Caenorhabditis elegans: one gene and its partners. The protein of the gene in region 3 purifies or fractionates together with the protein of the main gene of each other region. This does not show direct contact. Each region holds a gene or a part of one and is shown on either strand. Other genes may lie near its edges.

The links.
Region 1: the proteins of tif-1A (region 3) and C25H3.14 fractionate together in Caenorhabditis elegans (co-fractionation; one large-scale study listed by BioGRID). This does not show direct contact.
Region 2: the proteins of tif-1A (region 3) and rpoa-2 fractionate together in Caenorhabditis elegans (co-fractionation; one large-scale study listed by BioGRID). This does not show direct contact.
Region 4: the proteins of tif-1A (region 3) and trpp-11 fractionate together in Caenorhabditis elegans (co-fractionation; one large-scale study listed by BioGRID). This does not show direct contact.

The regions. Positions count from the first base shown.
Region 1 is NC_003280.10:5,692,355-5,697,545, reverse strand, and holds C25H3.14 (Acyl-coenzyme A thioesterase 13), read right to left. Parts: upstream 2,164-5,191; 5' UTR 2,153-2,163; coding exon 1,878-2,152; intron 1,500-1,877; coding exon 1,415-1,499; intron 1,360-1,414; coding exon 1,288-1,359; 3' UTR 1,188-1,287; downstream 1-1,187. Other genes in the region: C25H3.10 (F-box domain-containing protein), read left to right, coding at 1-96, 149-364, 414-557, 607-852; C25H3.3 (Acyl-coenzyme A thioesterase 13), read right to left, coding at 2,807-2,893, 2,936-3,020, 3,066-3,340; eif-2D (SUI1 domain-containing protein), read right to left, coding at 3,784-3,957, 4,002-4,286, 4,528-5,191.
Region 2 is NC_003279.8:9,279,177-9,288,897, forward strand, and holds rpoa-2 (DNA-directed RNA polymerase I subunit RPA2 homolog), read right to left. Parts: upstream 7,401-9,721; 5' UTR 7,387-7,400; coding exon 7,213-7,386; intron 7,158-7,212; coding exon 7,014-7,157; intron 6,852-7,013; coding exon 6,016-6,851; intron 5,614-6,015; coding exon 5,187-5,613; intron 4,958-5,186; coding exon 4,832-4,957; intron 4,777-4,831; coding exon 4,496-4,776; intron 4,310-4,495; coding exon 3,518-4,309; intron 3,069-3,517; coding exon 2,960-3,068; intron 2,909-2,959; coding exon 2,711-2,908; intron 2,430-2,710; coding exon 2,133-2,429; 3' UTR 1,747-2,132; downstream 1-1,746. Other genes in the region: prom-1 (FBXO47 ARM repeats region domain-containing protein), read left to right, coding at 8,271-8,397, 8,446-8,565, 8,611-8,721, 8,765-8,914, 8,961-9,088, 9,135-9,311, 9,368-9,542, 9,586-9,721. UniProt on the Caenorhabditis elegans protein: DNA-dependent RNA polymerase catalyzes the transcription of DNA into RNA using the four ribonucleoside triphosphates as substrates. Second largest core component of RNA polymerase I which synthesizes ribosomal RNA precursors.
Region 3 is NC_003281.10:3,997,424-4,006,566, forward strand, and holds tif-1A (RNA polymerase I-specific transcription initiation factor tif-1A), read right to left. Parts: upstream 6,692-9,143; 5' UTR 6,592-6,691; intron 6,537-6,591; 5' UTR 6,472-6,536; coding exon 6,426-6,471; intron 6,371-6,425; coding exon 6,108-6,370; intron 6,046-6,107; coding exon 5,626-6,045; intron 5,326-5,625; coding exon 4,760-5,325; intron 3,854-4,759; coding exon 3,675-3,853; intron 3,619-3,674; coding exon 3,507-3,618; intron 3,388-3,506; coding exon 3,289-3,387; intron 2,950-3,288; coding exon 2,756-2,949; intron 2,322-2,755; coding exon 2,236-2,321; 3' UTR 1,863-2,235; downstream 1-1,862. Other genes in the region: pxd-1 (PSI domain-containing protein), read left to right, coding at 8,752-8,818, 9,131-9,143. UniProt on the Caenorhabditis elegans protein: Required for efficient transcription initiation by RNA polymerase I (Pol I).
Region 4 is NC_003281.10:792,872-799,633, reverse strand, and holds the start of trpp-11 (Trafficking protein particle complex subunit 11 domain-containing protein), read right to left. Parts: upstream 4,499-6,762; 5' UTR 4,496-4,498; coding exon 4,380-4,495; intron 4,333-4,379; coding exon 4,241-4,332; intron 4,195-4,240; coding exon 4,005-4,194; intron 3,341-4,004; coding exon 2,926-3,340; intron 2,483-2,925; coding exon 2,191-2,482; intron 1,866-2,190; coding exon 1,612-1,865; intron 1,297-1,611; coding exon 1,003-1,296; intron 48-1,002; coding exon 1-47. Other genes in the region: rps-29 (Small ribosomal subunit protein uS14), read right to left, coding at 4,688-4,696, 4,965-5,064, 5,264-5,325; snt-2 (Synaptotagmin 2), read left to right, coding at 6,132-6,224.

The DNA of each region.
Region 1 (5,191 bases), on a different chromosome or scaffold from region 3:
ACATTAGCAAACTCGAATGAAATCAACACTATCAATCATGATGACATGGATAAATATCTTCGTGGTGCTAAAGTGGATTTACTTTGGCTAGAGATGGTGAGTATAATTAAAGTTTCAAGAAATCAAATATTCAATGTTACTTCTCCAGAATGGAAGTGAAGATGAACCTATTGAATTTCTTCAAAAAGTTATTCAAAAAACAAATTTCACTAGAATTGATTGTTTGAAATTGGGAAGCTCAAAAGTTGAGTGTGACGTCACAAAATTGGAAAATTGCATGGCAAGTTTGGTGTGTGCAGAACTAATTGTTGACTGGAGATTCAGAGTTCCTGAGGATTTTTTCAATGAACTTCATGTTGAGAAGGTTTGTATTGAAAGGAAATTTCAATAGTTTTACCAATTTTATTTTGAAGTTAACTCGATTAACGATTGGAAATCAGGAATCTAGAAACTTCTACCACCCACTTTCGGGAGATCACTTCAGAAAGTTCAGAGGAGATTGGTTGGAAATTGGGCAAAATCGTCTCAGAAGTTCAGATATATCTACCTTCCTAAAAGTATGTTTCTGTGGAATTTGATTAATCACTCCATTTATTCGAATTTCAGAATTGGAAATTGGGCTCCATTTCTTGGATTGAAATGTACAACATTGTCATTAGTTTTCCAATTCCCGAATTATTGATTTTACTGAAAAATGAGAGTTGCCAGAAAACACCAACGACGTGGAAAGTGTCTCGGGATCTAGACGAAGGAAAAGAGGAACTTGAAATTGGATTCTTCAAAAGTACAAACTTCTCGAAACAGCCATCATTGGTTATAAGGCAATTGAAAATTTTAGAATATTTGTGGTGAATTTTGGTATCTTGTTTTGGAATAAGTTTTCATGATAAACAATGTGTATAAAAAAAGTGATCGAAGGCGATTATGATTTCTTTTTTTTTTCTTGCCTCCAACATAACCGCAGCAAGATATGTTCGGAATTTTTTAATGGAATTTTTTATAAGACTTCTTTCTATGATTTGCATCCAAAAAATATGAATTTTGAGCTTCTTCGTCACTTTTGGTATTTCACTGAGCATCAACTCAGAGCGTTGGCGTGTGATACGGAGCCTTTAAAACACATTATCCTTACAACAAATGATCTCTCACTTCCGATATTTGTGTTTTTTAATGGCAAACAAACACATATATTGATAAAGATATTTATTTTCTGAAATGAAATGGAATACATGGTAAAATAATTCTAGTTTAATTTGCATATAACATTATTTATTTTATGGTGAGCGATCACTTTGGGAACGCCTTGGTGTGGACTCCAGTAGCAATCATTGCATTGTCCCTTTTACGATAGAGTTCTGCCTGAAATAAAACACTTTTGTAATCAGAAATATTCAAGAATAAAAAAATATGATACCTTAGTGAATCCAAGAGAGCGCCCCTGTTTGATGACAGTAGAGTTGAGTACAAGAGTTTCTCCGATGTTTGCAGCTGTCAAGTATCTGGAAGTTACGATGATCATAAATATTTTCTCCTGAATTTCTGGCATTATTAGTTTACGAAAATGAACGATTATAAAGCTAAAATATAGGTATGGGGGTACTAGAATGAGCGAAACTTTTCAGTTACCGTACTCGTGAGTACGGTAGATTTCTCTTTTTTGTTGGTTTTGCAATAAATCTGTAGTTTTAAATTAAAGGTTGGAATGGAAAAATTAGAAAACATTAGAAAAAGTTCGTTGGTACCGTAGCTGAGAACATTTCGGTCGTGGTGGGACCCCACACTGAATTTTGGCTTAAATATTGCACTTGTTCGCAAGACTTATATGTTTCAAATCATTGCATAATCTAGGAAACCTCTATTTAGATATAGATACTCACGTAATATGCAAATCCACTGAAACACCAGGCCTCGCTTCCTTTGTGAGTAGAAGAGCACCAGTTGTGAAACAATCGATAAGTGCTGCTGTACATCCACCATGAAGTGTCTCGAATTGATTTGTCTGATCCTTTTCAACTTCGAATTCCACTCGTAGATTTCCTTCCTCCGCATGAACTGCTCTCACATTCCGTGCTCCAGCCGCATAACCGAATTGTCCTTTTGTCCCGAACATTTTGATCACTTCCTTCGCAATTTGCATGTATTTTGATGCCATTTTCAAGCAATCTTAGAAAAAATATATGATTTAAAAATATTTGTTTCAAAACAAAAATCTCATAACCACGTAGACTTGCGTGGATTCTCTTACCATCAAAACATGTACAGAGTACTCGGATTAAAACGAGTATTTATGGAAAATTGGAAAAAAAACAAGAATTCTTTACAATTTTATTGCGGAATAATAGTTTTGTACACAAGGGAAATGTTTTTCAAAACGATCAAATTAGAAATTGTGTCTAGGAATTATGTTTAGGAGGTATTCCAGACACGAAATTTTGCGATTTTTGGGCAGAAATCACGGTAGCCGGTCTCGACACGAAAACTTTTTTTATAACGGGAAAAGGTGTGTGCGCCATTAAAGTTTACTGGAAATTCCAACTCTTGATTTTTTTTCGCGATTTTCTGAAAAAAAAAAGTTTTAATTGATGTATGGGAGTTTTAAAATAAATTAATAAATGTTTTTTTTATCGAAAATTGATGGGAAATTGTTGAAAAATCAATGAAATTTCAACAACAACGAGAGTCTAAAATTACAGTACTCATCAAAGAAGCACACCTTTTTTCATTTAACCAAAACATTTTGTGTCGAGACCGGATACCGTATTTTTGGCGCACGGATCGCAAATTTCCATGTCTTGGAATATATTGATTAGTTTGCTTTCTTCACAGTTGGGAATGCTTTGGTATGTACTCCAGTTGCAATCATTACATTATCACTTTTACGGTAGAGTTCTGCCTGGAAAAAAATAATATTTTTAAAACTTTTCTTAAAGTTTACCTTTGTGAATGCAAGAGTTTTTCCTTGTTTGATGACGGTGGAGTCGAGCACAAGGGTCTCACCAATTTTAGCGGCGGTCAGGTATCTAAAAATCTATCAAATTCGACAATTTTCTTCTCTCTTTACGTACGTAACATGCAAATCAACAGATACTCCTGGCCTAGCTGGTTTTGTGAGAAGAAGAGCCCCAGTAGTGAAAATATCAATGAGCGTAGATGTACATCCACCGTGAAGAGTGTTAAAATGGTTTGACTGATCTTTCTCAACTTCAAATTCCACTCGTAGATTTCCTTCCTCCGCATGAACTGCTCTCACATTTCCTGCTCCGGAAACACATCCGAATTGACCCTTGGTTCCATAATTTTTGATGATTTCCTTCGCCAATTGCATGTATTTTGAAGGCATTTTGATTTAATCTGAAAATGGATTAACATCTTAAAAATTTAGAACAATTTATCCCCCAGACGCGAAATCTTGGGTCCAAAATGCGGCACCAGGTCTCGACACTTACAGTACTCTTTAAAGGCACACCCTCGTTTTTATCTCACAAAAAAAGCGTGGCGAGACCTAATACCTTTTTTTTCTGCCCGAAAATCGAAAATGTTCGCGTATGTGTAATATTTAAATTGGCACTGATAATTCACCAAGCGGATATGTTCAAAACGATAAGAGAAAGTTCTTCATGAATCTTTATGGAACCGAAAATACGAATACAACCCATACTTAGAAACACACGGGTATTTAATAAATAAAGAAAGACCGAATTTCAAAACAAAAAAATTAAGGTGTGAGGGAATACATTGAACAGATTTAATACTATTTGAATTTGCAAATTTCTCCAAATTTTCTTATTTCTTCTTTTTCACCGCCAACTCGGTTCCTTTCATAAATTTCTTGTCGATTCCATACGATTTTATCAGAAGATCAGCGATAAAATGAATTTGATTTCCTTGAACGAGTACTTGAGGACCTTCGACGCCAGGAACTTCCCATTGACTTGTAACACTAGTAGCCACACCAGTCTGAAAATTCAGAAATTAGTATTTAAGGATTAGCCACCAACTACCTGAATTTGATGGCAAATCGTTCGAATGTCAATTCCAAACATCGCTAATCCATTTAAAAGAGTAACTTTTTTGTTTCCAGCACGGTTTTCGATCTTGAATTCAACTCTCGGTGGAGATACTTTTCTGACTATTTCTCTGCCGTCAGGCCATCTTATGTGCCATGTTGCAGTCATTCTTGAATGGATTTCTTTCATCAAATTTGCCCATGGAGTTGTATCCGTTTGGATTTTAGTGACCGAAAAGATAATTGGATCAAGACGAACTGATCCTCCAGCAGCAAGTTTCTAAAAACATCATTTACTATATATAAAGCGCGTGTCCTTCTGTCCCTATGTAGTTTGATCTCTGATCAGAGCAACGAAATTTTGGGAAACCTTATGCTAAATGCGCAGCAGACATCGATCGAGGTCCGCGATAGACTCCGTATATCTAATGTGTTTTCTCAAAAAAGTCGGGGGCCGCGCCGTAGGTGCGGTCCACGGCTGGTGACAATTATAACTGAATAAGAATTATAAGGAGACTTACGTTTTCATTTACATATTTTGTGACAAATTCTTTGATTTGTTTCACAGTCAGAAGATCCCCTTTTGAGCAGCCAGGGAACAACTTCAGCGTTGGTTCGGTAATTGCAAAATATTCAGCTATCACGGGAGCATCAAACTTGGCCTTCTCCGCTGGAGCTTCATCAACAATTCGTTCATCAGTTACTTCAAAATCGCGGAATAATTTGTTGGAAAAGTTCACATCAGCTACGATATCAGCTCCTTTTTTCTCTTTACTCGGCGTAATCTTGATGATCCACTCACTTTCTAGTTCATTTATTTCTTGAAGAAACGTAGCGAATTTCTTGAAATGTGTCTTTTTCATATCCAATCGTCGGCCATCTGGAACACAAGAGAGAACACATTGCGTATAGAATTGTCCAACATCCATTGGGAGTTGATTTCGAGTGAATCTATGTTTTAAGCCAGCTAGGAAACAACGTGTCAGAAGATTTTCCATAGGTTCTTCTTGTATCACTTCTTGTTTTTCTTCTTCTTTTGGTAATGTTGATTGACAAGCATCCAATTCTTTCCTTTCATCTGTTTCCTCATCTTCCTCTGATTCTTCGGATTCTACTCCAATCTTGTTCCAGTCTTCTAATGAACATGAAGGAGGAACACCTTTTGGTCCAAAATCCCAAAGTTGA
Region 2 (9,721 bases), on a different chromosome or scaffold from region 3:
CTGGCAAAGGGGGATGAAAACTTCCCAAAACTGAGTATGAAAAAAAAAAGAATAAGGGGAAGGTGATCATTTGAAGAGCCAGTGAGAGCTTCGAATAACATGAGGAAGATTTAAGGAATGTGTGCGCAAGTTTTTACAAAAAAAGTAGAGCTCAAACAGTTTGAAAGAACAGCAGTTTTATGGGGTTTTGGAATTTGTGCGTAATATTATGATTTTCAAAAACTGTGAACGAATGATGCAAAGTGTTAAGAAGGAAAAGGGGACCCAGAGGGGCGACGTATGACGTCATGACAAAATGGGGAAAAGCATTGCGAAATGTGATGTGCGCAGATGGGCACATCAAAATTTTAGGACCTTGTTTTTGGCACGTTCTCTATCAAAGTAGTTTACGTTAAAACAGTTCATAAAACAATTAGTATTCTTTGGATTCAAAATTTGCTTTAATTGGTTGAAGCTAAGAATAACAAAAAAAAACCGTCGAGAATGGAGAGTTTTATTATGAATTTCTACTATAAAAAAGAAATGTATAACTTATTTCCACTGTGAAATTTTATTTAAATTTTTCTCGATATTACTTTGTAGTTTTCTGAGTATTATCGTTTATTCGTGAGAAAATTTAAAGGTGCACACATCTTTTTCTTGGGTCTCGTCGCGATCAAATTCTACGCCCGAACGGTTATGGGTCAAAAAGCTCGTTGTGAGACTCTATGGAAACAATTCCTGTAACTTCTTCAATAAGAATTTAGCTGAAGATCCTAACGAAAAATGATCGTCTGAAATTTCTCAGAAGCCAAAAAATATGGAGAACGATTTTTTGAAAAATGAAAAAAATTATAAAAGCAAATATATAAACGATATTGAATCGTGGGAACAGTTTTTTTTTGCTGGAATATAAAGTATTGGTATTGATTTTGAATGAATATATTAACCGAGGTTATTGAAGATCACTCAGACGCGAACTTTTTCTCCAGAAGTACGGTACCCGGTCTCGACCCGAAATATTTTTGTTGAATTCAAAAATGTGCGTGCATTTCGAATTTAACAAAATTATGTCGTGGTGAGACCTTGGCGCGAAAAGCGCAACATTTCGCGTCTTTGTAATATATTCTGACGAAAATTGAGCAAGTGAAGGGAAGAATGACGAAATTCGTATTCCAAAGAATTTGCATCATACAATTGGGCTCCGAGATATTCAGAAGAATGATGCAAATCTTTGGGAACACTATTCGAAAATCTGGAAATCTATTTTCTATAAACTTTCTGAAGTTTCTATACTAAATTAGAGAAAAATTAAGTTGTTTCAAAGTTTAAAAAACTGCTGATTTTTGTCTTTCTCCGTGGCAACAGCCTGCAAAAAAGAGGTTTATGGCTTCTCGTCTCGAATTACACGTTTTTCGCTTTTCCATCGCCGTTTTGTTCTCAAAAAAATGCTGACATGATTTTTACACATCAAAAACGTGCCGTTCCACGTTTCTGCCGCAAAATAAAAACAGAAAAAAAGCTCTCGATGCTCCTTGAACATGCCACGTCATAACCTAGGAAGTTTTCACCCACGAAAAAAAAATGAAAAAGAAAGGCACAGAGGTATGGGGGAGCGCGGGGAAAATGGGAACATGGCCGCCAGGGGCTTATTGGAGCAGAAAGAGCACAGAGCAAGAGCAAAGAGAGAGTGGAAAAAGAGGCAGTGCGCGGAAAAACGGAAATTTAGCAAAAAAAATCAAAGAAGTGTGTGGAGAGAGGGGAAGGTTGCAGAGTGCTTAATGTGATTTACTTAAACATATAAAATGTATAACAACAACTTTATGGAATATTGAGGAACAAAAACTCAAACAAAAAACAAAACAAAAAGTGAACAATAGAAACAGAATAAATTGGATGAGGGTAAACAAAAAAGTAACAAAAATTGCTAAAATCGGCTAAAAATCAAAAATTTCAGAAAAGGTTCAACAATAAAACAACTTGCAAAGAGAAAATAACAAAAAATAGACAAAAACCGTGAGATTGTTGTAGGATAGGGGACGGAGAATATTAAAGTGTAGTGTAAAAGAAATTTTTTAAAAATCAAAGTTTAGAGAACTGCATGAAGTTTTCAGTATTTCTATTATGAAGGAAATGTTGAAAAAATAATGAAATTAACTTCCAGTTACTTTGGATGGATGTTCGATGCCCAACTTGATTTTCACATTCATTGCAGCTAACTCGGCAGTCAAATAACGGAAGACACGAGGAACTTGAAGCAGGAAAACTTGATCATCTTTATCACACGTACGACATCGTTGAGTTTCCGTGTAGTCCAATGGTTCGTCGTCTTTCCTTTTCTTTTTCAATAAATGTGATCCTGCACGACTGGACATCAACACGGACAATAGGGATCCACAACGACGACAAGCGTATGCTACGTCACGATCCGAACAGTTGAGAAGACGGTCCTGGAAATTAAAATATCAGTACAATGAAGTTAGTGTTGTCGCTTTTTCGATTTTTTTGAGTATTGAAAAATCGAAAACTACTAGTTTTCCAATTTTGTTCAAAACTTCGATTTTTCAAAAAAAAAACAGATGTAAACTTTGACCAATTTTCTTCTTTTAAGATTAACTTTTTTTTTAGTTTTCTGAACATTTTTTTCCGATTTTTCAGTTTTTTTCCCTGAAAAAAACAGAAAAATCTAAAAAATTTTCGGTGTTATTTTTAAACATAGAAATAAAAGTACCTGCAACACGAAAGATGTTCCATGTGCAATAATAGCATCTCTTTCCATTTCTCCAAATCGAATACCTCCTCCCTTTTTTCTTCCTTTTACTGGTTGATGAGTAATTGGATCAATTGGTCCAGTGGCTCTCACTTGGAATTTATCAGCAATCATATGACGAAGTCTTTGATAATAAACAATTCCAAAGAAGATTTGCATCTGTAATTATGAAAAATGTTAATTTTTCAAACGATAAATTCTAATATAAACCTCCATTTGACGTCCATCAACTCCCGAATAAAATGTTTCGTTACCGTAGTAATTATAACCTGCTTTTGTGAGTAATTCTCCAAAATGGTTGATTGCTGTGTTGTCTTCACTGAAAAATCAAAACATTGTTAAATGGAAAAAGAATCGAAAAAACGTAACTGTAACTGTTAAAAACTTTTCTAATTTTTTTAAATTTTTCTATTTTGCAAAAAAATAATTATTTTCGAATTTCCGCGAAACTGAAGGTACTGGTTAAATTGATCAGTTTTTATTTTTAATATATAATTTTAAACACTGTTAGTCTATTTTTCAGGACATTCTCCGTAAAGAAAACTTCGTCGAATCTGAAAAACAGTTGGCCCAAAAATCGATACTTCCACAAGAATGTATTATTTATTTTAACGGAAAAGTCAGAAAAATTGACAAGCCGTGTTTCAATTTGATATTTATTTGCACGGGAATTCAAAAATTAGTCGGCCCATTTTTTAAAATTAATTTTGAAAAATAATTTTAGAGATTTAGAATTATTTTCAAATTTTCAAACAGTGAATAACTTACTTGAAAACAAATGGCGATGCATCATAATTCTCTCCGTGCGTAGCTGCCGCTTTTCCAGCCATACTCTCAATCATCATACCGATTGTCATCCGAGATGGGAAACCGTGAGGATTGAAAATAATATCAGGTACCATACCGGTTTCTGAGAATGGAAGTGATTCAACAGGCCATAGGAATGAATTAATTCCTTTTTGTCCGTGTCTCGAAGCGAATTTATCACCGATAATTGGATTTCTCTCAATTCTCCATTGAATCAAAGCATGTTTTGCACCAGAATCGCCTTCTCCTTGTTCAACAATTCTCACCAAACCACAATATGCCGGTTCAGCGTAATGGAATTTATGAGTTCTGAAATCTCCAGTTTCCATATTGAATGTGACATAATACACTTCATCGAGGAAATATCGTCTTCCTGGAATCGGCAAACCATCTGGTCCAACGGTTTTGATTTCTTCTCGGGGATTTCTATAGAAAATCGTTTTTCGTTCTCTCTCGGTCACCAAATTAATTCTCTCCACTTTGATAACTGTTCCATGTGCAAAACCTCTTTGATATGATGCTTTATTGATTGTCATAGCATCTTCCATATCATATCCTGTATAGGAGATCACAGCAACACAAGCATTTGTACCCAATGGATATTCATCCATTTCGTATTTCTCATAAGCCTCCAGTTTTAGCATTGGTTGTTGTGGAAATTGTAGACGATACATTTTGTTGTCAGCACGTGAATGCCATGCATGTACGGCGGTTCCCATCGTTTGTTTACCCATTTGACATTGGTACACATTACTGGAAAAACGTTTAATTATTTTTATTTAAAGTCAAAAAGTGATGAAAACTCAATTTTCACCTATCAAGATTCAAAAGTCCCAATTTTTAGAAATTTTGCAAATTTAAAAATAATCTAATTTTTTGAAGTCATATTTTTAGACTAAATCTCCACTACTACAACTGGAAACTCTAACGAAAACTTACCGTGGTGACTGATTATGATCTGGGAAAGGAATTAAATTTCCAGCAAATGAAAATAAGCAAGAAGGATGCAATTCTTGATGCATAGTGACTCCTGGTTCAGCCTCTTCTGGATCAAGTACAACTGAGAGATAAACTTGTTCAAAAGTTCCGATATGTTCAACAGCATCCATTGCTAGATTACGTACTGGACGAATGAGACGTCCAGCGTCACTGAGAATGTAGATTCCTGGATATTGAGTTTGAATATTCTTGATATCCGTGGATCGACGAACAAGTGCAATCTGAAAAAAAAAGAAAATATAATTCATTCTTCAAAATAGTTTAGAAAAACAGTACCTCCGAAGTATAAGGAATTCTTGCATCTTTCGCAACTTTTGCACATCGTAGATATCTCTCAATTGAAGCAGCTTTAGTAATTGGAACATATCCAAGGAATCTTCCATTCATTAGAACTGGATAAAGCTGTAAATTATGATTTAAATTTGAAAATAGAGTTATTAAAGGTTATTTCATTTAAAGCTTAAAAATTGCCTGGAAATTGCAGATTGCCAATTATCGAGCTTCGTTTTTCTGCAATTTGCAACTTCCAGGCTATTTCTGAGCCCTTTTCAAATATTTCAACTGAAATAAGTGTTATTTTCATATAAGGAAATTTTTAAAATATGCTTTATACTTTAATAAATTGTTTTACCTCTTCACCTGGCGGTGCCAATGCAACAGTTTTGTGTGTATACATTCCCAATTCAGCAAGAAGCGACGGAACATTTGAATTATCAGAGAGATCAGTGACAATTCTACATGATGCAGTTACGTGATTCAATAAACCACATGGAGCTCCATCAGGAGTGTGTACAGGACAAATAAATCCCCATGCTTCTGGTCTCAATTTTCTAACATCTGTGGTTCGCATTTCCATAAAGAATGCACCACGATGAATTGCACGGAAGTGAGAAACGAAACGAAGTTGATTGATTCTTTCAGCGATAACTGAGAAACCAGATTCTTGTTGAAGAGCAAGACCGACACGAGTCACAAGATTTCCTGTTGCAAGGAAATATGCCATTCCACGAGTGATTTCACCACCAGTATGATTTCCAAGTGCTTTTAGAATAGCGGCGCTGAAAGTTAGAATGTTTATGCCAAACGGAAGATTTAAAAGTTAGAGCTCCGAAATCTGAGACTTTGCTCTTTTTTATGACCCAAAACTACCAAATAAATATTTTAATACATATGTTGGTCGTCGTTTCATTGAATTAGGTACATTTACGTAGATTTAGGTGCGTCTAAGGGTGCACAAAATTGTCGACTTACAGTTAGAAAGCTTCCGAAACAACGGAACAATACATAATAAATTACCAAATTATGCATTAAAGAGTGATAATCAAATAAAAATGTACTTTGGCAACTTTAACAAATTGGCAAAATTTGAGATTATAGCCTATTCTTCTTTGAGAAATTTTCAGAATGCTTAATTTTTAAAAAATCGGTAGTTCTAGGACATTTTTGGTAAATGAACTTACGATGTCAAAATGAAGTCCTTCCTTGAACTCATGTACTCCAATTTTCTCCTAACCATTCCAATGATATTCTCCATTCGTTCTCTCAGAATCAACAAAAGAATATGTCCTGAAACAGAGGCCTCTTGGAATTGTGGATTATCAGGTGTCTCTGGAGCACATTCTCCTTTCACAAGTGCAATGAGTTTCTGTGTCATGTACGCAAGAGTATGGAATTTCTCTTCATCACTATCCAAATGTATAAGTACACATTCCCGAATGATGAATCGACCAGCTTCAAGATCATCTTCCCATGGAGCAACTCTATCAGATACGGCTACTCTGAAACGAGAACCGATGGCTCTAATGGCGGCTTCTTGATTCAAAATTTCTTCTTCTTGACATTGAGCAAGCATATTGAGAATGCAAGATGAATAGAATTGATCTTGATTTCTTCCTCTTTTGAATCCAGCACTAATCACTGCATCATTCTTATCAGTTAAAGCCTTCACAATATACATCAACGGTACATAAAAGATTTCCCGTCTGAATTGAAGTGCTAACTGCATAGTTCCAGTGTCCAAATAATGAAGAGTCATCATTACAGCCGTATGATTTTCCTTAACACTTCTCATCATAACTCCAAATTCCGAGAACAATTTTCCTTTCTCTTTGAATGTTTTTCTGATAATTGCGATTGGAAAGTTTCTTCGATTCGCGATCAGCAATCTAATCACTTTTTCTGATCCATTTACAATGAAATATCCTCCTTTTTCGATTGGCTCTTCACCGGCAACTACAAGTTCCTTTCGAGACATTCCACGGAGATGGCAACCTTCGGATCGGAGCATAATTGGTACCTAAATATTTTGTTGTATAGTATTTTCTTTTTCTAATATTTGCTTGGAGAATTCAGAAAATGAAAATTTAACCTCGAAACAAGTATTTTATTTCTTAACTTTTAACTTTTTCGAAGGAAGGTGACCCAATTCTTACTTTCAACGCAGTATTTATAGAATTACCTTTCCCAAAATAATTTCAATAATGTCCAACCGGCTTCCGTTCACATGGACATCGATTCCAACTTTTAAATTTCCAGCATATGTCAGTCCACGTTGTCGACATTCCGCGGGAAGTAAAGGAAGAGTGTCACTGGTGAGCTTCGCCTGAAAATTGATTTTTAGAATTTTCAATATTTAAGATTGCAGATCAAATACTTACTCCGGTATCTAGCGTTGGCTTATGAAGTTGAGCCGACGTGAACTTCATTGTAACAGCATCGCCGTTTTTCAGACGGAATTTTTCTGCAGGAACAGCTTGGGCAGCAAATTGACATCCTTTTGAAACAAGAAAATCGAATGAATCGACATGATACGACGCTATGTCGCAGTCCATCGCCTGAAAACTTGAAAGTTTAAATGAATAATTTTTCGAACTAATACAAATGTTATAATAAAATGAAAACTACATATTCAAATGTATTTGATTATTAAATAAAAGATTTAGGGGTTGGCGAGCAGTAAAAATTAGAAATGGAAGAGAAGGAGCGACAGCCACTGTTCAGTTCGGCCACAATTCGAGGGGAAAAGAGAGGGAAAAGAAAAATGAAGAGTTAGATGAAAACTAGACGATAACAGCCTGAACTTGATTATTTCTCCAATGATAAAGGAATACGAAAACTTTCATGAAACAAACTCAAAATAAGTATTGGGACATATTATACGAAAAAATCGCGAAAACGCAAATATTGGTTATAAATACATTTATTATGAACTTGCAAATAAAATTTAATCAAACAAATCGATGAGAAAACCGCAGGAAGTTATCGGCCCACTAAACGAACGTATTATTCAGAAAATAACGGCGGATTTTAACAGCCATGAAGTTAAGGAAACGATTTTGAGTTTCTGCAGCAGTTTAATTTATAAGGAATAAAATTTAAATGAACAAGTGCTTCAAAATAATCGATTAAAAAAGAGGAAAGTGAAGAAAAGTTCGAAAAGAACCGAAAAATCGATCGAAGCCAAAGAACGAATTAAAGGCGCATTGCTTTTGTCATATGGGTCTCGCCACGACTTTTATGGGTACTGTAGTGGGGGTGTGTTCAAATTTCAAATCAATTCGAATTCCCGCCTAAATGCGAGTGACCTATATTTTGCCTCATTTTTTTTTGTTTTTTCTTGTTTTTTTAGTTTTTGATCATTTATGTGAAATATTTTTAATGTCAAGTTCTTTCTGGTCTATTACTTGATAATATCAAGCCATTTTCAGAATCCAAAATGGATAAATCAACACCCAGGCGGACTTACAATTTGCGGAGTGCTGATCGAACAACACAAAACAGTCCAGTTTCCAGACAAAGTCTAGAAAATCATCGCAATGCTTCAGTGTCTCTAAGAAAAAGAAGTAGTACTTCTTCACTTCAACGCATTCAATCAGAGTTTACATTTACAGATTCAGCCACAGAGGAACGATGTTCTCGTAAAAGACGAAGAACACAGCAAACACATGGATTACCTTTTTCATCGCCAGATGCTATTAATCATCAACGAGCATTTCATCTCGATGAGCACAGTAAAAAAATCACAAGTATTCTCCAACATACATTTTTAATTCCAGAAGTATGTTCAAAGCTTACTACAAGATTGTCGATTGAGGTGGAGACGTCGTATGGAAGTTTCGGTAAACTACCTTATGATGCCGTCATCCACATATTGACAAGAACACCATGTATGTGGTAAAATATATTTAACTTGTAGAATTAATTATTCAGACAATCTTCTAAGTCGCATGGTAATGACATCTTCCTGCTGGAATCAAACAATCGGAGCATATATGAGAAGTGGAGCTTTTCGTCGTCGCTGGCTGTTAGACATTGACATTGCGCCAAGTTCTAAACCATTGGATCCCTTCTTTGATATGGGTCAGTAACATCAACGATTTGTCTCAAACTTTCTTGTTAATTTCAGGAAAACTCGTGAGGTGCCTGACGATAAATTATGAATGGAAAGCGAGGCTAGATTGTCTGAAATCGTTTATGACACTGGCGTACGAGTCAGGTGCTCTGATTGCCGGACTTGGCAAGATGATTCATGCGGTACTATTCGTTATGCCTTGATTATTTTGAAAAATTAATTTATCAGTTCACAAATCGCCCAGACGAAGACATTGTATTGGAGCAAATTGATGACATCGTTGCCATGCTCTTGGCGCTAGTTAGTGGTCTGAAAGATGACTTGAGTGCTGTTCTTTTCACCCCCGAAACGGATCGAGAGCTGGAAGAATTAGATAATATGCCAATTCTTCGCGAAGAGATGAAGGTTTGTATCTAGGAGAACATACATATTTTCCAGTTTTAAATATTAAATATTTTCAGTTGCGGAAAAAGACATTGAATTTGTTCTTGAATAATGGATCGTCGGACCCAGCTCATGGTGTTAATAAATATTTCTTGAGCAGTTTGATGAAAGTTTTCAAAACAGCGCATAATGCACTTCCGACTGCACTTTTCTACCTTCTGTTTTCTCCGACCACAATCCAAGATGATGAAGGTTTGACATACAATTCAGTGAATAATAATTTTTGGAGTTTCAGAAGTGATTCACTGGCATCGATTGTCTTTGTTATCCGTGGTAACTTCCGAAGAAGCTGAAGAGTTAAAACCGTTATCAAGAGCAATGTGTGCTCTGATACAGTGCAGAAACTTAAAACACGTGTTGCCTTGGTCAAA
Region 3 (9,143 bases):
TAAACTCTCAGGCGTTGGATAGAATTCGCGACATGGCTTAGAAAAATATAAAACTCGGCCATCATGAAAAATAACTATATTTTGTCTATTCCAGATTAATGATTATAATTCTTGTTTTCATAAATATTTCAATTCCGTCAGCACACTTTGAGTCAATGGGGGCTCCTAATATTGTATGCACAATTCTTATGAGATTTTGTGCGCGGAATGGGTCCTTCCGAATCATACTACAAAGTATCCACGTCAGAAGCAGCAGAAGCTGAGGATATTTATTTTCATTTTCGTCAGAATTAGATATTAGAAATAGCGGTGGTGTAGGTGTTTGGGAATTTGATTTTTTCAGGAAAAAAAGTTTTGCAAAAAAAACCGATTTCAAGAAGGACCTGCAGAATCGTCCTCGATTTGATTAGTTGTATCCACGCATTATGCACATATCGAGAATGGTAACTCTTCCATGAACGTGCCTTCCTGCCTACCTACCGCCTATTATTTCAAAACCAGCTCTTTTGCAAAGCTGTTTACTTCGCGAGGAGAACAAATTCATCACAATTCATTTTTTATCGAAAAATTCAAATTTTTCGGTGAAAATCGGAAGTTTTCCACAAAAATATGAACTTGCCTCTGCTTATTATTTCCGTCTTCATATTTTGGGAAATTCCAGCCGGAAAGCAAAAAAAAACGTCACGATCTTTTTGATATCAAACTAATCCCAATATTATTAGTGGGGAAAAATATGAAGAAGAAGACGTGATCCGATTAGATTTCTGCAAAAGGGGAATGAGAAGTGACATTTTCAGTCAAAAGAAGGCATTTGGGAGAGAAGGAAGAAATATTCAAAAAAGGAATGGATAAAAAAACGGAAACATGTGCCTTTGTGTATGCGTGTGATTTGAAATGTTATGCTTGTGGATAAAAAAGGTAAAAGAATTGAATTGTGGTGTGAGAAATAGTGATAAACAAGAATTTAGTATGACTAGGATTCCAAACTCTCATATTATGGGGACGCAGTTGTTTTAAATTGAAGTAAAAACGCGCTCCACGGCCAATTGAGAATGCTACACCCCCGAATTGTGGGTCTTGTTAGGTATTAGCAGGAAAATTGTGAATTTAAATGTTTTTCAAATCAGTTTTGGTTCTTTTTTTTGTTTTCCATTGGTTTTATGATTTTTATGACGAAATTGATGAAATAACATTAATAAATAAATGAAAAAAAAAAACCAAAAATTAGCAACAAAAAGTTTATGAACTTAAACAATTTTTCCAAAAACTGTAAACTCCGCTTCTCCTCGTGGAGTACACGAGCTGCGTGAATCGGCACATTAAAGATTAACTTTTTCATGTAGAAACTTTAATGGGTAAATAAGGGAAAAAATACTATCCACTGCGAAAACAGGAGCGATTTTCAGATCAAAATGGGTCCCGACACGAGCGTAACTTTTCAGCTACAGTACCCACTTGTATTTCTCAATTTTTTTTGCGATTTCTTTTCAATATTATTCAAAATGTTCAAATTAAAAGAATACAATTTGTTCGCTTTAATTCTCTGCAATTTTGTCAAAAACGAAAAGAAACAACGCTTCTGTGGGTACGGTAGCTGAACAATTTCGCTCGTGTCAAGACCAATATATTTTCAATAAGTTAAGTTACCGTAATCCAGTATAAAGACGCATAATAATTCAGATTTTTCTCAGAGTATTTTTTTTTGTATCCGAATTACTAATCCTATTCTAATTTTAGTTCTGCTTCTGACACTTTTGATTAAAAAAGTTTGGTTTTGCGTCATAACTTTTAGTTTTTTTTTTTCAAAAGATGAGGGATTACGCGCGTTACTATTAGTGGTATGTCTAAATAAGCTGACAAATCATGACTAACATTTGAATTTTTATGATTTTTCGGGGTAAAAAATTTAAATTAAACGTTGAAGGAAAATGATTAATAGATTTGGAAGTCTTAATTAAACAATTGAAACTAAGATAAGACTGGAGCAGAGAATGGAGAATGACATTCAAGAAAAAAATCGGGGAAAATGACTACGGAAGTTTACGGGGAAGTTTCTACAATTTTTTCGCGTAAAAGTCCCGGGGAGAAAATGAAAATGGAAAAAAAATTAATATAATACAATTTAATGAGGTAAATCAACGACAAAAGTAACTCAAGAAAATGCCAGAAAAAAACGAAGGAAAACATGGAGAAAATCAGCAACAAAACAATAAAATATGGAAAACAGATATTTATTTAGACGTTGAAAGTCTGTAGTCCAGGAGTTGCCGAGTAGTTGATCAGCGAGCTTTGTCCACAGGAGAATGTACGTTCGCGGTATCCTGAAAATTGAGATATTTGGAAAAAAAAAATTTAATTTTTACTATCAAAACTTATTTAGATATGTTTCTAAATTTCTATAATTTTTTTGACATTTTTGCGCTTTCCGGCTAGATTTATTGGTTTTTTATTGTTTTCCAATTTATCTGAAACTTTTATGAAAAATTAAAAAAAATGTTCTTAACAACTTATAGCGCAATCTTTAAGGTTTGCAGGATTTTCTGAAAAAAAAAGTAAAAACCCAGAAAGTTTATCCGGGAATTTAAAATTAATTTATTCAATTAAATACTTTTTGCAAAATTAAAGAAACCATTGTAGAATTTAGCAGTGAAACAAACATTTAAAAACTTGTTGCTTTGAAAATATAAAATTTTTTTAAAAAGTTAAAAGTAAAAGTTAGTGTAAGTACACATATCGATTGTTTTCCGAAATTTACCTGAGGATCCACCCATCATCATAGCATCATCTTCATCCAAGAAATCGAGACCTTCTGAACTTGAAACTGCCTCTGCTGACTTTTCTGATTTATCAGCCGTCGCAGCATTCCAGCACAATGCTTTTGTAAGTGTAGACATGTCTTCCGCCAATGGAGAGAATTTTCGCATTAATGGAGTCATGAACTTGCTGCTTCTGAAAATATTTAAAGATTTATTTCAATTTCTTAAATGTAGAGTAGTTTGAATGGGAATTTAAGCTTCAAAAAAACTCCAAAATAGTCTCTAAGTCAGAAAAACCACCAGAGAAAAACGAAAAAAAAACGCGTTTTTCAATTTCGGCTGAATTCCCTCCAAGCTGGCGACCGGTCGCGGAGCTCTTATTTTCAAACGACTTCAGCCAAAATTTAATAATCTCGTTTTTGAAATTTGGATTTTTCATTCTTTCGCAGATTTTTCCGATTTTATCAGTAATTTTTGTGAATTAGAGGATTTTTTGAAGCAAAATCTCAATAAAATTCAGAAAAAAACTGACTCTTTCAAATGATAACAATCAAATGGGAACATATCATCAAATGGTCGTTGAACTTCTTCAATTGGAATGATGTGATTACAGTAGACAAGTTGCAAGGATCTGGAACTTTTTCAGTGATTTTTTCAGCAGGAAATATTAGAAATTTCAATTTTCTGGTGATAAAGCTTCCATTTGTAACTTCGTAACTTCATTTTTTTGATTTGTAACTTCAGTCATACCTTGTTATAGCTGAAAAGCATCTGGCAACTGGTTTTGACACGTATTTCAGGGGCTCCAACGGAGAATGCACAACTCTTCCAACTCCCCAGCGACGGATTGTTTCCAGCATATCTGAAATAATATTTTAGTGTAAATAAATCATTTTTTCAAATTAAAATAAGAATTACCTTTATTCTTGACAAATTCCTTATATCTGAACGCAAAGACGAGGAAAAATGCTTGAGAAACCGAGTAAAATGTTCCATGTCTTTGAAGTCCGGGAAGGATTTGAGAACTTCCAGAACCGAATTGATCAACGTAGTGACGGAGCCAAATGTACACTTCTTCAAGCCACGTGAATGCAGTGCTGAAATTATGAAATTAACTGCAAAAATCTCAGAACTGTAATTACGAATTTACGTTTGAAAAATTATTAAGTTTTCCTAAAAAATCTAAAATTTTGCACAACAGTTTCATTAGTTTTTCTTTGAAACATCGTTTGTCGAATTTTCAGACTATTTTCCAAAAAAAACTTGTGAAACCGAAAGAAAATTGCTGAAATTCTAAAATTGATTTAAAAATCACTTACTATATAAAGCGCGTGTCCTTCTATCCCTATGTAGTTTGATCTTTGATCAGAGCAACGAAATTTTGGGAAACCTTATGCTAAGTGCGCAGCAGACATCGATCGAGGTCCGCGATAGACACCGTATATCTAATGTGTTTTCTCAAAAAGTCGTAGGCGCGCCGTAGGTGCGGTCCACGGCTGGTTATAAATAATTGAAATTACGTAATTTCAAACATGTTTACGGAAAACGTAATTTCTTACTGAATACTTTTTGAAAAACCATGTTTCAAATCATATTCACACTTTTAAAATTAAAAAAAAATTCTATAATTTTTAATTTAATATTCTGTCATTCATTCTCCACTCAGAAACGATATCTTGTGATCTTTGAAAAAAATTAAACAAATATTCGTTAAATGCAAACAAATTTGTGTCTTCAAAGAGTACTGTAAATTTTTCGTTTCTTTGGAATTTTTTTAAAAACAGATTTTTCGTATTTTTTCGATTTGTTAAGCTTTAAAGTAAAAAAATGTTTTGATCCAAAAAAATGTGACAGAAATCGATTTATAAAAAAGCAACGAAAGTTTAAAGTTACAGTAATCTTTAAAAGCACACACCTTTTCACATTTAACAAAAACTTGCCGCAAAAATCTTAAAATTTCGAGCCTGGATAATATTTTAAATTTTAAAAATCTCTCTCTTCACCTCTTCTTGACATATTTGGCTCTTGCCAAAAAAGCGGCCAAATACGAAGCAGCTCCCTGACTTTTTCTCGCATCAGCCGGGGCTCTTGGCATTCGAATGGTCACCTGCCACAGATGCTCCAACATTTTCTTCTCGTATTCCTGGCTTAACGAACAAAAATACAACCAAATAAATGAGACGTATTGAACATGAGTTGCATTGAGCATTGTCGATTCAAGACATTCTAGAAATGTGTCAAAAAGCTTCTCCTTGGGTAGTACTTTGTCTCCAGTGATTTTAAAGTTTCTGAGCCATTTGTCATTCAATTTTGTTCGTTCATTTCCATTTTCTTCGTCTATTTCAGAATCAACTGAGCTTCTAATGAATGTGATAACATCCGTGCACACTGAGTCCAAATATTGAATCATTTGTTCTCCTTTTCTTTGTTCCAATTGTTCTGGTGTAACATCTTCTGAATCATTTGTATTTCCCTCAACGACTTCTTCTATTAGAATATCATCATTTAATGCGAATAGTCGAGGACTTTTGCTCATTTCTTCGTTTTGCTCGCATTTCCAATTATGTGTCTGTAATAAATTTGCTTTTAGTAAGTTATTTTTATAAATTCTGAAACTATATTAGACTCAAATTGCCATCGAAAAACCGAATTTCATAATGAGACGTCATGAGAATGTTTTAAAATTTTTTTAGAGCAATTTTAAGTTGAAAAAAAAATCTTCAGTTTAGAAACGGCCAGAAATGCGTTTGTAATTAATTATAACCATTTATAAAACATTTAATTCGTTTTCTACGCTATTTTGTTGATTTAGGAGAATTTTCGATCGATTTGAGCCTAATATAGTAATTCAGGATTTTTGAATACTCACATCATCTTTAGCTAGCCGTTCGAAAACTGCTTCCCAAACGTCTTTGGAAATACTTGCTGGAATGTATTTCTGCATCAAAATGAGATTTCTCATATAGCCAGCCACTGTGACAGATGGACGTGTAAAATGTGGCATAACTCGTTTCACACATTTCAGAAGAGCTCTAGCCGAGAGGGGAAAACATCTGAGAACACTTGAAATGATATGATGAGCCATTTCAAAATGCTCATTTTGAACTTTTTCTGTGAGAATTAGAGTTACGACTCCTGTCTCTTCAGTTACTGAAATTTGGGGAACAAGTCGTTCAACGACGGCAGAATAGACTTCTTCTGTGAAACAAAGATGACGGATCGCAAGTTCGCAGAGAAAATTACGGAATCTCTCAATCACTGATCCAGGAATTTTATCCCATCGGAGACTCTGAAATATGAATATATTTTAATTTCATTTATAACTTCGCAAAAATTAAAATTTAAACTAACCAAAAGCCTTTTGACAAGTGTCTCTGTTCTCGCTTCCATGGCGTCCGCGATATTCAGAAATTGATCTAAAAGCTGAATTTTCGGAGCTTCAGATTCCCATTGCTCGAAAGTTTCCAGTGCATTGCAGATTTTCCGATATAAAACCGCAGCGGTTACATCTCCTTTCAGATAATTTTCAACAATTTCCCGCCCAGTTGGGGCTTGATTAACGGTTGGCTTCGCCTCTTCTTCAAGCTTCACTTTCTTAGGATCACTTTCGCTTTCTGGAAATTAAATTAATTTTAAATATTAATTATTGATTTATTTAAAACAATTTACCATGTTTTGGAGACAATTTTGGAGCATTAGCAGTGGATCTCTTCATGATTATTTTTCGACGAATATTTAATTGAAAAACCAAACAAATTCAACCAGAATATGCAACAAATTCTGAAAAAAAAAACCTGTCTTTAAAAGAATTGGGGAAAAATCAATGAAAACTCACAATAACAAGACCTGTACACAACAAGAAACGCTTTCCTCGAATCGTTTCGATGGAAGCGTGTTTCGTTAGCGCTTATGCGGTCATTGCCAAGCCCAAGTTGCTGGAAATTGCGAAATATTGCAATATTTCTGAGATTTTCAATTTTTCAAGAGTTTCGAAATTCAAGAGCGTCGTTTAAAACTGTTGTTTCAGAAGTAAATTAGTGTTCAAAAGGATTAAATTGTTTTAATTAATTTATTTTATAAAATTTCGTAATGTTTCAAACAAAAGTATCAAAAAAGAAGACTTAAATCAGAAAAATACGCGAGAAAAATAAAATTATTCTGCACTGAAAAAACGCAAAGGCCCTCGCTGACGCACTTACCGTGCAGCAGCTGGCGCAATTCTCGACAAGTGGCCATTCGAATTACTGTTGTTTAAACAAGCAGGTCTATTGCACTTTTATCGGTTTTTTATTATCAGTTTTATAGAATTTTCGATATTATGAGAAAATATGACACAATCACAAACCTGCATGCTCATCCTGAAAAATAACTACGAAGAATCCGAAAATTAAGATAAAATTGGTTTATTCCAGTATTTAAAGAGTAAATCTATTCATTTAATTTGGCATTCTTCACTACATTGCATGAATACTTTTAGAAAATAGATCAATGACAACTTTGAAACGATAATTCGCTGAAAAGTTAAAAGAAAATACTGAATGAACAAAATTGTTCAACAATATGTATGTCTGGAAATTTATCGATTTGGCACTATAGGTCACAGGTTTTTTGTAAAATTAGTTATATTTTCTTTTATGCAAAATTATCCTTTTTGTGCATTCATTATATCCCAAAAACGCAATACTTGTTATTCCAAAAGTCAGTTTTTTTCCGCCAAGAAGCCAATTCTGAAAATTCATATTACCTATAGGTCTATAGACGCGTATAATTTTGTGATTTTTGTCTCAAATAAACGGTGACCGGTCTCGACACGAAATTTTTTGTTAAATTCAAAAACATGTGTGCCTTGAAAAGTACTGTAACTTCAAATATCTTCATAGTTTTCCTCACGATTTGATGAATTTTGTGTGTCTCTTATTATTTTATTAACGTTTATCGAAAAAACCAAAAAAATATTTTAAAATTTTCGTGGCGAGACCAGGTACCGTATTCTCGAACTGTCGCGGTTTGCCAAAAAAAAGTTACAGTTTCCAGTATTAAATTGAGAATATTTGAATTTACAATTTTGCCACCGAATACCTAACGAGACCCATGGTTCGGGGGCTGAGCGTTTTCTATTCTTCCTCATAATACAGCACATTAGAAAAATTGCCACATTTCGGCTTTTCCTAACAATACGTGCCATTTATCAATGAAACAAAGTTCAAAATTATCGTGTACTTGCATCGTGAAAAGATCAAAGTTTGTGATACACCCAAAAAAATTTAAAAAAAAAAGGTAGTGACCGGTCATCAGACTAATAAGAGTCATTTGATTGATATCATCAATGTTTTCTGTCCTTATCTTATTATCTCAAGATACACACTCTCTCCAACAACCTCAGAGCATTCAATAAATCACTCATTGGTCCCAATAATTATCCATCGAAACATGAACCCCTGTGTCTGTTGTCTCGTGTCAAACCAATTACTCTCCTCCATCCGACTCTTTTCTCTTTTCTCCCTTCATCTCGTTTATATCCTTTCTTGAGCTCTACACAACCAGTGAGAGCACCCCTTTTTTGGACGGAAGGAGGGACGCCTATTCAAACTCCACGCACTTTTTCCCCTTTTTCTTTCCATTGACTTCCCCTTATTTTCCACTTTTTTGTTGCCAAGATTTTGATTTTTTTTTTAGAGAATCTCGAAAACTACTTTTTGAAAGAAGTTGTGTCTCCTTTTGAAAAAAGGGATATGCATTGGAAATTATTGTGTTTCCTGTTGTTTACCATTCCCCTTAAACCTTGAGCACATTTTGAATAGGATGTGCCAAAACATATTCAAATATTTTCAAAAGAAGAATCCTGAATTTATAAAAGCTCAAAGTCCTTAAGCTGATCGTGTTATCCGATGAATCCCTACAATATTGCTTCTTCTGATTTTATCACATTTTCTCAAAAAGTATATAATCTTATCAATTTCAGCTTCCAGATCAAAACATTAATGCATAATCAAAAATGAGGCAATTGACGACGGTAACAGTAATATCATTGGCTCTGCTACTTATTCTCAGGATATGTGAAGGTATGTGTTTTTAGTCAGGCCCTTCAAGTAGCCACGAAATGCCTGCCTGATACCTACATACATTGCTGCTGCTAACGGTAACGTGAAACGTTTTCAAATTAACTTCCAATAAATTAACTGGTATGACGGAATGAAAAACAGAGCAGGCAGTAGGCAGGCAAGGTCTAACCTTTTGTCATAATTCCAGACCCACCCAGGACATGTTTTTTTTACAATAAAAAAAGTTTAAAGAAAAATTTCGAATAGTTTCTCGGTATAAAATAGGGGTTTAAAAATCAGAAGATTTTTTGCAACTAAGTCTCCGAATTTCAGCACAAAACATTGA
Region 4 (6,762 bases), 3.2 Mb from region 3:
GGGTGTTCTTGAAGCACATGCTGCCATTGGAGTTGGTATGTGTGGAGCTGGAGATTTAATAATTACTAGATACATTTGACAATTTTTAAAGCATACAGTATACTAGAAATTATAAACAGTATTTTTAAAGGGGGAGTAGAGTTTGTAAGTATTTTGCTCAAATAGACTAAAACTGGAACAAAGCGACCGAATTTCCTAATTAGATTTCACAAAAAATGCCCAAAAACTTTTATGGCGCGCAAAAATTTCGAAAAAAAAGAGCCACGTTTTGCATTTTGCTTAATCTGAAATGTCGCTAACTTTTCTTTGTCGCAGCCATTGGAATTAAACTTTTCTGAAATTATCACTTTTTAATCCATACTTTGACATTTTATCTCCTGTAAATCCCTTGATTGAGACACTTACTTTAATTGCTTTGATCCAAAAATTATCAAAAAAATTGGATTCTTATCAACTCAAAGTGTGTCTCAATCAAGGAATTTACAACAGATAAATTACTACAATATGGATTAAAGGGTGATAATTTCAGAAAAGATAAATTCCAATGGCTACCATAAAGAAAAGTGGGCGAAATTTCAGATTAAGCAAAAAATTTGCCTTTTTTCGAAATTTTTACCCGCCATAAAAAATTTTTGAAATTTTTTTCGTCAAGTCTCATTATGAATTTTAGTGGTTTTGTTCCAGTTTTAGTCTATTTAAGCAAAATACCCAGAAACTCTACTCTCCCTTTTAAGAACCTAATTTTGGCACTTATGGTCCTTTGTTGGGAGAAAATTCTAGTTTCTTATTAAATTCAGTATACTTGTAGTCTGATCTCTAGTGTTCCGAACTTTTGTTCTCTTGCAGGAGTGGACAAGGTTGTTTATGCACATATATGTGCATTGTGCTTAATAGCCGGATAGCCAGTACAGCGCCGGATATTGAAAATTATTTTTGGATAACAAACACAAAAGAATGCGCATTTATTGTGTTTTAATATCCGGTTTCCGGGTGGGGATTTACCTGCTCTTGTGAGATATCATCGTTTGGAAACGGTGATCCAGGTGGTTTTCCGTCGAGAACATCTAAAAGGCCTTTAACACAATCCGAGGGAAGAACTTCTGAATATGCGGGACACATTAACTGCATACAGCATACTGCGTAGTCTTGAATACTGGTGATTGCGTAGGCGGCCCACGTGGCACGATGCATCATATCCTTACGAATAGAGTACGGTAGAGCATTATCTTTTACTACGAGTCCCCAGAACCGCAGAGCCCGCTGGATTTCGTTGTTTGCGTAGCATGTGTTAGCCATCTGGAATTTCATAGAATTTGGAAATATCAGAACAATAAAATTACAGTCCTAATAGAATTACAGTACATATTTTTGCCTTTGACAACAATTTGCCGTATCAAAACAGGTGTAGGTGGGAATTACCGGTTTGTCGATTTGCCGGAACTTTTTAATTCAGGCAACTTGTCGGTTTGCCGGAATTTTTCATTTTCGGCAAATTGCCAGGATGCGTGCAATTTTGCCGCTCAAAAATTGAAATTAAAACTTCCAAAAGAATGTGCAAAACCAGATTGCCGGTTTGCCGATTTGCCGGAAAATGATTCAAACTGTAATTACCTCCATCATAACCTTCTTCTTCATTCTCAAACATCCATATTTCTGATATTGAGCCAATGCAGCTGATAACAATGAAATTACACCTTCATGATTGACTACAAGCCTTTGAATAATTGCTGTAACTGCAGCAGCTTCAACTTCTGCAGTTGCCAATCCTTCATGATTTATTCTCCATGGACGTTGGCCGAAAAATACAGTACTGGAAGAGTTTGCCAATGGATCTGGGGATGGGTATGGCACATTTTGTGGAGCATCTGGAAATTAGAAAATAAACGGGAAAACAATTTCAAAAAGGCACAGTTTTAAGTGTTTCCGTCTTTTTAAAAAATCCCTCTAAACATTTCCGGCAAATCTGATATCCGGCAAATCGGCAAATTGACAATTTGCGGAATTTGTTGACAAAAAAATGTGGCGAACGGTAATTGATTGTCTGATTTTGTAAATTTCCGTTTAGTAGAATAAAAACACATTTTTCAAAATTTTATATTTTTAAAGGCTTCACCATTATAAAAATTTCAAATTAGAACTAAAATTTGGTACATCTTTTCAGAAGTATCAACAATTCGTGCTAAACCTCACTTCTCTTCAACGCAGCAATTTCAGTATTCGCAGCGGAATAAATACTAGCAGCTTGATCCAAATGTGTTCCAGGATTCAAAGTGGCAAGTGCCGATAGTCCGCCGGCAACTGATCTCTCGAATAAATGTGCAAATTGATAACATTGCTTGGATTTCCAGAGCAAAAGTTCAATTGAAGCAAGATGTGGTGTTGGATAGATTCCCGGTGATGAAGAGAAGAATACTGTCGTGTGACGTCGCATTTGATTGATTGCTTCGAGTGCCGTACTGTGGAGGAAACATAATTCGCACATCTGAAAATTTAATTGCAATTAAAATAATAATAATTATGTTATGTTTTATTTAAAGCATATATTTTGTTGTTGATGTGATTTTTTGAACGAGAATTAACGGTTCGGACGATTTTGAACGAATAAACCCAAAATGGGTTCAAAGTTTCGAAAAAATACACTGAATTCAGCTCAGGGGTGCGCGGCAATTTTCGAAAATAAATATAAATCGGAATTTGAAAAAATTTCACCTTTTGCAACCCTTAAAGGATTAAGCCATTTTGAGCTTAAAAAGAGAACATTGTTCAGTAAAATGCATGTTTAAGCTCCTAAAACTACAAAAAGTATCAAATTTATATTTGCGTCAATCGGCAATTTCGGCCATTGCCGGTTTTCAAAATTTCCGGCAATCGGACACCCCTAGTACTAATAACGGAATTCTTGGTTTTCAGCAATCCCTGCTGTACCTTATAATTAAGCAATCCAACAACACTTCTCCACTCAAAAACATCGACTCCATCCCATTGTTCAACTGTATCCCGACATTGATCATAAGCCAATCGATAATTTCTCAATGCTGTATGAGTATCCTGTCTGAGTTCTGACAGAAACGCCAATTTGAATTGTTGTCGTACGACTAACGCCGGCGAGTTATTCGGAATATTTCTAGATCGAATAGTTTTCAATCTTTGTTGATAGAATGCTTGGCACAGTTCATGGAATGCTAGCTCGAGTTTTAACGCGAAATTCTGCAGATTTGTGGTATTCGGAGCCAATAAATTGTCCGCGGGAAGTATGAAAAGTTGTTTTGACGAGAGGGAACATGCTTGGCAAAGTTCGTGAGCTCTGTCTGCTGCCAGATTGTCACTGATGCTTGTTGATCTGGAAAATTGTTGAAATTAAGGGATTTCTCACAGCTTTCTGTGATTTTTTTTGTGAACAATTTAATTTTTTAAAAAGAGTTTCTTCGCAGCTTTTCTATAATTTCTTTTTGATTTCTAGCTCTCAAGCTTTTTTCAAAAAAAAAAGTTTTTTTGAAAATTTCGATTTTTTTTTGTGGTTTTTCTAACAAAATTATAAACAAATCACACTTTTTAGAAATTTTTCATTAAAAAAGCTTTTTCGGGCGTTTTTACAGAAAAATTCACAGAAAAAAGCAACTTTAGTCAGTTTTCATGAAAAATTCGCATGAAAAATGGAAATTTTTGTCATTTTTCAACGAAATTCTATGAAAATTGCAATTTCCTGTCATTTTAATTGAAAACTACAATAAAATCAAAACTTTTAGTCATTTTTATGAAAAATCGCATGGAAATAGTCATGCTCAGCTTTTTCGGGCGTATTTACAGGAAAATTACACGAAAATCACCCTTTTCGGTCATTTTTCCACAAAATTCTACGAAAATTGCCAGTTTCTGTAGTTTTTAATGGAAAATTACAATCAAATCACCATTTTTCATGAAAAAATAACACGGAAATCGGCATATTTAGTCACTTTTTACGGAAATTTCATGGAAATGACCGTTTTTTTTCAGCATTTCCTCACTTTTGCTGAATCAAAACGAGCGCAATTTTCGTCCCATGACGCAGCGATCCTCTTATACTTGCAACTTTGCTCTCTGCTTCAGTCTTCTTCTCTTCCCAAGATGGATGATCCCATTCTAAATCAATGAACACGACAATCAGTGCCGGTACCTTATCCAGATACTTTTGAGGCCACTCACGGCGGAGAATTCCTGGAAAATCGACGTTTTTAATCGATATTTTGTCAGTTTCTGGCACCTTTTCCTGACCCAGTCTCCCGTTTCGGTGGAATATCCAATTCTCCGGAAACTACGCGAATATGAAGTGGTGGTTTGTCGGCTGTGCGGTTTCTAAATTATTTTTGGCGTTTGAGGAAGTTCTTCATGTTTCAATGTACCGGAAGACATTGACGATACTGTTGTGAGCTGGCTTATTCACTGGATTTAATCCCGACAGGAAGACAAGTTGAAGTGGCCGACCGGCTATCCAATCACCTGCTTCTACTGGATCCATCTGCTACAATTGAACGGTTTCTACTATCCCTTCCCCAATAAAAAAGTAGTCCTCCTCCAGATTTGAACCGTTTGTTTTATTATTCACATAAAATTATAACATAGACATTATGCCAACAATTTATTGATTGAAGACATGAAGTTAACAATAACAAGATTTGACGAGGCGGTTGCAGACGTGGACGCTGGTTGCTCAATCAAGCTGAAAAAAAAATAAGTTGACAGATAATAAAATACTTATTTATTTTAAAGTATATTTGCAGTAAGTTCAGGTTTGTTTGCTGATCTTGAACAGGAACTCTAAAAGCTGATGTACCTGTCTTCGAGACATCAATTCTATCTTGCAGACTAAACTAAACGTCGAAAAGCACAGGCATTCGCGTAATGGACATCTGCTCATCCTACTTGAACTTTTAAATATTATTTTAGTTGGATAAGGTTCCTTTTTTGCATAATCTAGTTAAATTTACCTTCTTGAATCCGATGTCTCTGGCTTGCTCGCGGAAGCATCTACGGCAGAGATCGAGGCCGTACTTGCGGATAAGTCCGTGGTGTCCAGCGCAGACGCGGCTGAAAAATTCAGATAAATGTATTTGAAATACACCAAGTTCAGGTTTGTTTGCTGATCTTGAACATGAGCATCAAAATATGAAGCACATGTCTTCGAGACATCAATTTTATTTCGCAAATTTAACTAAACGTCAAAAGGTAAAGAGCCTTTTCGTAATGGACATCTGCATTCGAAATTTTTGATGAAAATAATACTTACCAGGAGCGGGATCCTGGTCCGAACTTGCGTGGGTGAGAGAACCACAAATTTTGGAAACCCATTGTCGAGAGCTGAAATGGAAACAAAATTAACATCTCAGAATGCAAAATGTTTCGAAAAAGCTGTAAACGGAGGAAAAAAGCGGAAAACAAGAAGACGGTGAGAAAAAAAGCGAAATGCGTCAAAAAATCGATAATTAAAGCAACAACAGCATTTTCCGTAAAATTTCGTTATTTTTCGAAATCTTTCCAGAAGAACTAGTTACAAAACTTCTAATTTAATTCTGCTACTTATAATTACGGAAACAATCGTTTTCCTTGCAAAAATATGGAAAATAGATCGAAAAACTTGATTTTCGGCCAAGAGGCAGAAAATACGGGCGATTTTAGCAAAATGTTGACGTTTTTGGTGAGAAAATGCACGAAATTTTGATTTCCAACAAAAAATTCATTTATTTTCGAATTTTTAACAACAAAAAACACAAAAATCCATCGAAAAATAGGCCAAAAGGAAGAAAAACGCAATTTTTGCAGAACACTCCGCCACTCGGGTACGGTCACACTCGTTTCACGTGTGTCAAAGTCGCGGCGAGACCCACACCAAGACTGCTCCGCCTCCTTCGGGTCGTTTAGGAGGGAGGAGCCGCGCTTTTGAATGGAAAAACGACAGGAAAGAACATTTTTGTGCTCCAAAATTTTTTCAGACAAAAAAATTCGAAAAATCTGAAATTTAATTATATTATTCACGATTTTCGTACTATGTAGCGAGAAAACACCCTAGAAACTCACTATTTTAACTATTTTTCCCCGTTTTTTTATTTCACTGATAACATTTTCTCACTGATACCGCCACAATCAATTATTCAACCATGTGGGCGACCGGAGCAATCGTCTGCTCGCCAGTATTCCGGATTTTGTCGACGTGTTGTCCGATTCGTCGTGGCGTGCCAACGTCGAATGGGGTGAGTGGCTATTCTGATTTTCTTAAAGAGCTAAAAGCTGACAAAACTTCGTTTTTAGTTCGAAAAATTCCTAATAAAAATTTAACGAAAAAAAATTAAAAAACACTACCCGGAGTTTAACCAAAAAGTTTTCACACCAAACTGTGCACACTACTCATTGCGCCAACTGAACACGAAATTTCAAAACATTTTTGGTAAAAATATCGAAAAGTAGATCATTCGATTCTAACAAGAGAGAACAGAAAAAACGTGGACAAAAAAGCGAATTAACTCGGTTCTTCTACTCTTTTTTACTGCCGGGTCGTTAAACATTGGCCACTCGTACGAGTTGTGAGTGTTGCGGCACAAAAATGGAGAAAAAAAGCTCATCAAAAATTCATTTGTTGTCATTTTCCCATTGATGACGTGGAAAATTAAATTATTCGTTACTTTTTTTGGAGATGCGGATCTAATTGACTTAAAATAGTAAAAAAAAAGAACCGAAAATAGAGTTATTTCATCGAAAATAAGCACATTCAAGCATATATATATTCGCACT